Drosophila melanogaster: one gene and its partner. The protein of the gene in region 2 interacts with the protein of the main gene of each other region in a pairwise test. Each region holds a gene or a part of one and is shown on either strand. Other genes may lie near its edges. The genes, in order: CG17110 and CG32633.

Evidence for each region.
Region 1: the proteins of CG32633 (region 2) and CG17110 interact in a two-hybrid assay, tested with the Drosophila melanogaster proteins (one large-scale study listed by BioGRID).

The regions. Positions count from the first base shown.
Region 1 is NT_033777.3:23,089,863-23,095,896, forward strand, and holds CG17110 (uncharacterized protein), read left to right. Parts: upstream 1-1,861; 5' UTR 1,862-1,894; intron 1,895-1,914; exon of another isoform or gene 1,915-2,000; 5' UTR 2,001-2,008; coding exon of another isoform or gene 2,009-2,099; intron 2,100-2,193; coding exon of another isoform or gene 2,194-2,685; intron 2,686-2,738; coding exon of another isoform or gene 2,739-3,156; intron 3,157-3,219; coding exon of another isoform or gene 3,220-3,424; 5' UTR 3,425-3,571; exon of another isoform or gene 3,572-3,597; intron 3,598-3,635; exon of another isoform or gene 3,636-3,638; 5' UTR 3,639-3,816; coding exon 3,817-3,913; intron 3,914-3,967; coding exon 3,968-4,459; intron 4,460-4,517; coding exon 4,518-4,932; intron 4,933-4,987; coding exon 4,988-5,192; 3' UTR 5,193-5,322; downstream 5,323-6,034. Other genes in the region: CG6726 (uncharacterized protein), read left to right, coding at 2,009-2,099, 2,194-2,685, 2,739-3,156, 3,220-3,424; CG17109 (uncharacterized protein), read left to right, coding at 5,871-5,961, 6,021-6,034.
Region 2 is NC_004354.4:13,559,981-13,564,012, reverse strand, and holds CG32633 (uncharacterized protein), read right to left. Parts: upstream 2,343-4,032; 5' UTR 2,303-2,342; coding exon 2,296-2,302; intron 2,048-2,295; coding exon 1,197-2,047; 3' UTR 654-1,196; downstream 1-653.

The DNA of each region.
Region 1 (6,034 bases), on a different chromosome or scaffold from region 2:
TTTTCGTTCCACCTAATGCCTGACACACACACACACAAATTGAAGCTCTCCAGGCGATGCAAACGCATGCCCTCCGGATTGTCCTTGAGCTGTCAGTCCGCCAGCAACCCAATTCCCATTCCATATTTCCATACTACCGAAACTTTGCCATGGGCTCTGAAAAAAGCTCGAACAAAAGGAAATGTACGCTCTGGGCCGAGGGATATGGTAAATGGTAAATGGCAGAGGAGGATTATATCAGTTCTCTCGCTTTTATTTTTTTTTTTTGCTTTTTTTGGCCAGGTAATGCGCCCATAACGGATTAGGCGATATCCTCGGGGTTCCATCTCTGCAGTTCTGCAGGTTTTGGGTGCTCAACGCAAACAGTTTCCGGCGTTGCCCGGATAATTGTTACAATATACAAAATTTTCATTTAGTTTATTTGCCCAGCGACAACATGTCAGCTCAGCAGCAACATCAGCAAACAACAAACAGGCGCGCCCCCAAGTCACCACCATGGGCGAAAAGTGAATAATTTGGCATCAGATAAGTAGATTCGTGTTTTACTCGACTAAGAATGAACTACTTTAGCCTCTGTACAGACTTATAGACTCTATTCTAGGGACATTACATTCGAATTATGCCAAAAACTTGCCATTTTGGCCCATTGTGCAGCTGAACGAGTGTTTGTGCGCAGGAAACTTGTGTATTTATTTGACTTATGTGACGCTGTAAATGGGGAGAGTACGAGTTTGTACGAATGTGGGGCTTGGATGTTATTTAAAATGCAGACATGTGTAGCCTGTAGTTGCTGCTATTGCTGCTGGTGCGCCATTAAAATCCCAGCAACATTGTTAATGAACTTTTAATGACTTTTTGTGAGTACACACACTAAAACAATATCAACTTTGGCCTAGCAGGGTGTGTATGCGACACAAATCAGAGGGCTTTGGTTTTGTGTATTTTTTTTGGCCCAACCACCTTTTTTTCTGTATGGGAACAAGCGTGAAATCTAAATGCGAAACTAACTTTTGACACACTACTGGGACAACAGACGCAGTGCAGCAAAGTCGGCAAGTGCAGCAGGAACACTATTAATATGCGAAATTTGAATTGGATTCGAGTGGCTGAAAGGCCCGAGGAGGGGCAACTTGTTTACCCGGAAGCCCACTGGGCGTGTGGTGCGAACGTGTGCAGTGCATCTTGATTAACAAATCAACTGGAATTGGAATGCGATTGCATGCGATTCATCAGTAATCGGAAATCTTGGCTGCGGGCCAAATGGGGTCACCATCAATCCAGCAATCCTGCAGTCCTGTTACCCCCAAAGCAATGCGAAGCACCTTCGCCTCCATTTAAGGCAAATAAATCCATCAGCCAGGGGGAATCCCAAGTAAATGAGCCTTAAAGTGGGTTCATATGTACCGGAAAGTGATGGAAGAATGTTCACCAATACATGGAGTGGAATCCCTACCAATTGGGATGGTACAGAAATAGAGTTCCACTCCTTGTGCTATGAGCTGCAAAATTCAGTTTAATTTATAAATAATGCAGTACAAGATAGAAATTACTATTAGGGGATGTCTCTTTTGTAATCAATTGAATTTTTGAGTGCTGGATATTAAATTCATCAAATTAGTTTCTCATATAGAAATGGGAAGACACGAATATTATTAATGACGGAAGCAATTGTTAACTGCAAGTCATTTGTACTGAAAAGTAGATTAGCCATCTAAAAAGTAAACAAATGCGTAAGATAAAACAGTTTATAGGCAGCACCGTATGATAAGAAATTAGGTTTAGTTCCTTCTCGGATTTATTATCATGCCCTCTCTTTCGCTCGCTTATCGCTGATATTTAAACGCGCGCTTCTCTCCACGATCGCACAGTCGTCGTCGAGCCAGTGTTGCGAAAGGTGTGTTGTGTGTCTGCTCTCCGCTGTGGTGAAGTGTCGATCAGCTGATTTCAGCAAACAATTTAATTGATTTGTTATCAGCCGGCTAATTATTTACATTTTATAGAGTGCAAAATGAGTACAGCCAAGTGGGAGAACAACGAGGAGATTAAGATCTTTCGCGAATATCTTCGCATACCAACGGTGCATCCAAATGTGGATTACAGTGAGTTCCAATGGGCATGTATATCTTTATGAGGCTGCGATAAGAGTACCCTGATCTTTATGACCTTGCCATAAAATGTGTCTGCTATTTATAGCCGTTTGCACGGAATTCTTGAAACGCCAGGCTGCCAGCTTGGACCTGCCCGTGGAGGTTATCTATCCGGTGAACGAGCAGAATCCCGTGGTGGTGCTAAAATGGCAGGGTTCCCAGCCGGAACTGCCCTCCATCATTCTCAATTCGCACACGGATGTAGTGCCCGTTTTTGAGGAGAAGTGGACACACGGTCCATTCAGCGCGGATCTAGATGCAGAGGGTCGCATCTTTGCGCGCGGATCGCAGGACATGAAGTGCGTGGGCACCCAATATCTGGGAGCTGTGCGTGCCCTCAAGGCCAGTGGCTATCAACCCAAGAGGACGATCTATCTCACTTATGTTCCGGACGAGGAGGTTGGCGGCCACCTGGGCATGCGGGAGCTGGTAAAGAGCGACTACTTCAAGAAGCTCAATGTGGGATTCAGTTTCGACGAGGGAATCTCTAGTGCGGATGAAACCTACGCTCTGTACTACGCTGAACGGACTCTTTGGCGTGAGTAGGATTGACTCATACAAACAATTTAAGCTAGCCATGTTTTCCTGCAGATCTTCGTTTCAAGATCAGCGGAACTGCTGGTCACGGATCACTGTTGCTCCCGAATACTGCTGGCGAGAAGCTGAACTATGTGGTAGGCAAAATGATGGAGTTCCGCAAATCGCAAGTGCAAAAACTAGCTGACGACTCATCCCTCGAAATTGGTGATGTGACCACTGTGAATCTCACCCAACTGAGGGGCGGAGTCCAGAGCAACGTGGTTCCCCCATTGCTGGAAGCTGTATTTGATATCCGCATTGCCGTCACCGTGGATATCCCTGCCTTTGAGAAGCAGATTCGCGACTGGTGCGAGGAGGCTGGCGGCGGCATTGAACTGGAGTTTGAGATGAAAAACCCCTTTGTGGAGCCAACAAAGATTGACTCGTCGAATGCCTACTGGCTGGCCTTTAAGAAAGCACTCGATGACCTGTAAGGATGAGAAGCTCTGACAAAAGGCATGGCTCTGATATCCTTTCTCCTTGTTTCTTTCAGTGGCCTCAAGACACGGGTTCGTGTTTTCCCCGGCGCCACGGACAGTCGTTATATTCGCTACGCAGGCATTCCAGCTCTAGGATTCTCGCCCATTAACAACACCCCCATCCTGCTGCACGACCACGATGAATTCCTGAAAGCCGATACCTATTTGCACGGCATTGAGGTTTACAAGAAGCTCATTCCTGCCGTAGCTGATGCTTAGCGAACTCAATTCAATTATGAAATAATGCATTTAATGCTTACTTGTCGATGTTTATTGTAATAACTTTAAACAAGCAGGCTTATAAAAACCCATTTAAATAAACAATGTATGAATAAATAAGCCAGTCCATAGTCCATACCATTAATGGTGAGCAAAAAAAGGAAATTTAAATGAAAATGAATAAGTTTATGGTTTACTATTATGGCTTTGCTAGATAACATTAAGCTCTTAGCGCAAAGATGAAAATCCGCAAATTGTGGGCTCTTCTAATCAAGTAGCTTAAAGTCAACAACTGATAATGCCATTAAGTCAATCCACACTCAGACTTCAAACCAAACAGCACGGTGGATTACAAGTCAGTTCCTTTAGAACCACGGGGCATTCAACTCAAAATGTGCACTTGCACGGAACAATGGAAGAACGACGAGGAAATAATCATTTTCCAGGAGTATTTGCGCATTCCCTCGGTGCATCCAGACGTGGACTACAGTAAGGATTTGTTTTTCCGCTCCTTGGATTTTGTTATCCCTATTTCCCTTGCAGCTGCATGCGTGGAGTTCCTAAAACGCCAGGCTAACAAACTTAATCTCCGCGTGGACGTGGTGTATCCTGTTGTGCCTTCGAAACCGGTGGTGATTATGAAGTGGCTGGGCAAGCATCCCGAGCTGAAATCCATTATATTGAACTCACACATGGACGTGGTGCCCGTGTTTCCCGAAAAGTGGACCCATGAGCCGTTTGGTGCCCACATAGACGCCCAAGGCCGGATTTATGCACGCGGTGCCCAGGACATGAAGTCCGTGGGATGTCAGTACATGGCTGCGGTCCGTGCACTCAAAGCCAGTGGCTATCAGCCAAAAAGGACCGTATATTTGACTTTTGTGCCCGACGAGGAAACTGGCGGACACATGGGCATGGCTGAATTCGTCAAGGGTGATTACTTCAAAGCCATGAATGTGGGCTTTAGCCTGGACGAGGGCATCGCCAGTGAAGATGACACTTATCCTGTATTTTACGCCGAGCGTACATTGTGGCGTAAGTCTTCCATTTGCATCAGTAGCAATATATTCTGATTCATTTTATACCCCTGCAGAACTTCGATTTAAATTCAGTGGCACTTCAGGTCATGGATCGCTGCTGCACAAAAGCACGGCTGGCGAAAAGTTTCACTTTGTGATGGATAAGCTGATGAAGTTCCGAGAAACCCAGGTCAAGCTACTGGCCGAGGACTCCTCCTTGCAGTCCGGTGATGTGACCACTTTGAACCTGACCCAACTCAACGGTGGCGTCCAAAGCAATGTGGTTCCCCCCGTACTAGAAGCCACTTTTGATATTCGCATAGCCATCAACCAGAATGCCGATGCAATGGAGAATCAGATTCGCGAGTGGTGCAACGAAGTCGGTGGTGGAGTGGAACTGGATTTCACGCTGAAGTGCCCCTCGGTGGTGACCAAGATAGACGACTCCAATCCCTACTGGCTGGGCTTCAAAAAGGGACTAGATGAACTGTAGGTAAACAAAGATTGTGTAGTTTTCACTTCATAATTTGTTGAAATTTTCCAGAGGTTTGATCACCCATACACGAGTTTTCCCCGGCGCCACCGATAGCTTCTACGTCCGGCAAGTGGGAATTCCCGCTCTGGGATTTTCACCCATCAACAACACCCCGGTGCTGCTGCACAATCATGATGAATATTTGCGGGCCGACACATATCTGCACGGAATTCAGGTGTACAGGAAGCTCATCCCCTCTATTGCTGATTCATAAAATGTTCAAGCGAAGTTCCACTCATAAATGGAAATCAATATGCTACAATTGGTCTTATCGCTTATGAGTAATGTTTTTGGCTCGATGAGTGTAGGACCAAAATTAAATGTTTAAATGGTGTGACTACTACAAATCATATCTGTTTCTAAACAAATGAAAATCACACACTGATAACACGAGTTTCAGAAGAGAGTTTTTGTCATGGACTTTGCCCTCATTCAATATCCAATAAATCGTCACAACTATTGATATCGTTCTCAAAAACTAACGTAACCTTCACGTAAAGGGGTTGTATTTTATATATACATCATAATTATCAATAATTACATTAATATGTATTCTATTTTCTTATCAAACCAAATACAAATTATAATAACCCATTTTTTCGCAGACCATAAACGACGGTGGTTGAGTTTTATTGGTGTTATGTGAACTTTATCGAATTGGCTACCGTTTGCTATTAGACATTTGTTTTGGTAGAATTTTGTACAAGAATATGTGCTGTTATCATTTCTATAACAACCGAGTTTGATAACGAACTCATTATTTGATAATAATACGAAGCCAAGGCCATAAAACCAAAATCACCCAACACACAAAAATTTCTGTATAAGTTCATTTTTTGCCAACTGCGGCACATTCGAGTTTGGTGACTGGCAGCGAAAACATATCCACAAAATGAGCACCGAAAAGTGGGAGGACAACGAGGAAATCAAAATATTCCGCGAATATTTGCGCATAGCTACGGTGCAGCCAAATGTGGATTACAGTAAGGATTCCCCAAGGAATTCACAGAAGAGCACTACTCATGTACATCTTAACTTCTAGCCGAATGTGTGGAG
Region 2 (4,032 bases):
AAGCCCCTTACCAATTGACCAATGGCATCGGAATCGGAATCGTAAACAAATGCAGCGCGCTCGCACTCTTCGTCACTCGAATGCTTTCGTCACGTCACCGTGTTCTCGCTTCTTTTTGCAGCAAATATGCACTCGATTCGCACTTTTCGCGACGACAACCGATTTTGGAGCTGTTTGGGGGCAGAGTGTGACCGTCGGGCGCAGCGGGCTGCACGTCGACTGCGGCGTCGCTGAAATTACCTAAAATATCTGTATGGCGCAATGGTGTGGCGTGGTGTTTGGTTACTACGCTGGAACGGTCACACTGGAAAAGAAAGCTCAATGCATTTAGCCAAGACAGGAACCAGTCGAAAGCTTAAATCGCCAGCTGTCGGCGGTTAGGCAAACTGCTACGGCTCGACTTTCTCCAGCTCGTCATAGGTGGCGCCACGGTTAGTGCAGATAATCATCTCATAGGTGGCGCCAATGATAGTGTTAAGATTAAGGCCTTTTAGCAACTTTCCTATAAAATAAATTGCGAAAAAAAGTATTTCCATGGGAAACTTTGTGCTGTCAAATAAGTGCTTAAAACATGTATTGATTACAACGTGTGCACATTAATAAGCTATGAAATAAAACGCTACGCCCGCCACTAATGAATTGACTTTAACTTTATGAAACGTTTTAATAAACTTTTCAATATACAAAGAAAGTTACAAAGAGTTTCGATACCTATAACTTTTTACCTCGGCAGACGAAAGGTCGAGTTATAAAGCATCGAGTGCATATATGTACACATTCTGATAACTGCGATATCTGTCTGAGTTTTACGATGCAGTGTTTGTTAAGTCAGTGGGCGAAGGCAAATGGTTAATTATGTTACAAGTTGACGCAAATTTATGGCCAACTAATCAATTGATTGTTGCTAATTGATAACCGATGTGATAACATAAGGCCCGCATATAGAAGAAATTCCTCACATCCGCAATACCTCGAAATTTCTATGACAACCACTTTGAACTATTATCACCAAAACTCTATGAAAGGGGTACTTTTTTTTTAGAATTACTGGGTGCATTACCATAAATTTTATCAGTTACGTTGCTCGATGTCGATCGAATTAAACTTAAATTTATACTTTAATCTGTATACTTCTGTTGTGTGTGTAAAAAATAGATTTATTAAAAAAAAAATGGAATAAAGGCAAAGCTGTCCGTCTAGATCCTCACCAGAACCTCGTAATTCTCCAGACGCACCTCCTCGCCACCGAATGGGATGTAGATGCAGCCGTGCGAGGGATGGATCTTGCCCACACTCAAGCTGTCGCAGTAGATGGCCCTGCCGACGTAGAGGGGCTCCCCGTCGACATTCGGACCGGAGGACAGGGCTCCGGGAGCCACATTTCCGTGCGAGGCCGGAACCCAACGGAATCCGGATCCCGTCAGCACCTGGACGTCGGTGAGCTCGTGCTCCGCCTGGGCATAGGCGGCATAGGCTTTCCCCTTCGCCGGCACCACTTTGGCTGGCAGCAGATCACCATTGCGGAACACCCTGCCCACGTAGATGGTGTCCCCGTTGGAATCGTGCCCAGCAACCAGAGCTCCATCCGGAATATTTGTTGCGGTGGTGTCGATCCAACGTTCCGGCTGGCACAGCACCTCGTAGGCAAAGATCTTAACCTCATCGGAATCGTAGGGAATATACAGGCAGCCGTGGGATGGATGCACCTTGCCCATGGTTAAGCTGCCGGCATGATAACCCCTGCCCGCATACAAATACTCGCCGTCCACATTCCGACCAACTTTGACGGCGCCCGGCGGCACCTCCCCGTTCTCCGCCGACAGCCACTCGTAGTTGTAGCCGGAAAGCACCTCGTAGTTCTCCAGCTCGTGCTCCTCGCGCGCATACGCCACGTAGGCCTTGCCCTTGTTGGGAATCACCTTCGCCGGCAGCATGTCGTTGGAGAAGAAGGCACGGCCCACGTAGATGGTGTCCCCGTCCGAATCGTGACCAGCCACCACGGCATTCGGCGGCACGCTGCCGTTGCTGAAGTGCATCCATCTGTGGTCTGGGGGATAATGGAAAAATGAAACGATTATTTAACAGCACACCGAATGGTATAACTCTTTAATTCTGTTGTTCATGGCAAGTAAACTAGTTTATTTGGCTAGGCCAAGTTAGTTTCCAAAATTGAATTAATTTATTTTGAGTTTCAACTGATTAAGTACTTTAAAGATTGGTAACTGTTTTATATCATCCACCTAGTTAAATGTTTTCATTTTTTGTTATGGCATCTTGGCCTTACGACCTATTTACCTGCCATTTTCTTGTCCGTTCTTCAGCAGCTCTGACTTTCAACTGTGAAAGTGGTCGATTTGATGGTCTTTTTGTGTTTCCGCCTCGATGTCGCTGATAGGGCTTATCGGGAATATACCTACATGGCCAGATAAGAAGCCCGACCTCAAGTGACTCAGATCTTGGCAAACTCTTGTTGAATTTCTAATCGATTGGCCAATTGGAAGTAATGGGGTTTAACATCGAGAAACAGGCAAGTTTATTTTATTAACCCATATAGTGAAAGTAAATATTGCACTAGAAATGTTATAAATGTTAAGTAAATTTGATTTATATTTTATTTTTTTATCTCGTTATAATTTATACATTTAAAATTCTTTCGAGTCGTCAAGAATGTAATTGCATTCATAATATCATAATGGTTATTACTTTTTTTTTTGTTGCCGACAAACTTTCTCGCTTATTGTTTGTTACATATAGCATATACATATTTCATGGAGCTGTAGTTAAACACAAAAAGTTTATTCCGCTTTTTAACATACTAATAACAATAGCTTGCGCGTTTACAACTCGTGGTTAACCAGTTATCTCGTTCATTTGTTGTGCCACCTTTTCGAGTTGCCTTACATCCGTGCATGTATCTCCATTTAACCGCCCAATATTCGCCAATTTGAATGGGGGAATCGCTTGATCCTTTATTTATTCGCCACATTGCAAATTTCTTGCGCGCGCTTTTCCGCTTTCCCACTTTTCCGCATTTCCACTCGTCCAGTCGTCCACGCACTTCACTTATTTAGTGGTCGCTGTCTTTGCAGTTCGTTTTCGTTCGTTTTCCTTTTGTTTTCCCAGCATTGTTGCCTCTTTGAATGATTTTTCTTGTTTTGCCTTTCAAGTGGATCACTGTTTTTTGTTTGCATTTTCGCCCATTTACAACTATTTGAACAAGGGAAAACGTGGAAAGCTGGGCGCAAAAGTTAAGAGGGGTTGCTGAAATTGCTGTGCAACGCAACGTTTGCACCTGTTTACAGTGGCTTGTGAATTCCCAATGCTGGACTGGTGGTAGGGGCTGTGTGGGGAGTGTCATTATTAAGCTTTACGATTTTTCCACGATTTCCCAGCAGCTTTGCGCGCCCTGCTCTCGAGCAAACCAATTAACCAGAGATAAGTCTAACTTGACTTCAAACTGGGTAAACAAGCTGCATTCTCGAAATACGCAAAAATGTTGCAGATTATAATACTTTAAATCAACTTTGTTCGGTTTTCGTTGTGCATCTTCTTTTTGTGGGTATGATGTTTTTATGCCACTGCAGCCTAATGAATTTGTTTTCGCCCAGCCAGGCTCCATTTGGCTTTGTGCAACGTTTTAACCTCATTTTGGCCTCTTTATTTAAACCCCCCCCCCCCATTTCTCTGTTTGGCCAACTTAATTTCACCTAATACATTTTAATCATTTCCACAGTACCACGAACTAAATGCCCTCCTTCATTAACCCCTTGCTGCTCCAACCCATCTATCTGTCACGCTTTCCGCTCTCGATTCGCATCCGTTCTCCATGGGTCCATCTTTGCTGGTTATACTTTTCTGGTCGCTTTGCTTATCCTTGCCACACTGTGAAAAATAAAGTTGGCCACACCTGGTTCAAGATTAACATAGCTCCTTAGTTCTCATCTTGATAAGAATACTACTTCTCTATTAATATTAAATTTAATTGTGTTATTTAATAATCCAACTTTATCAAGTACTTTAAATACATACTCC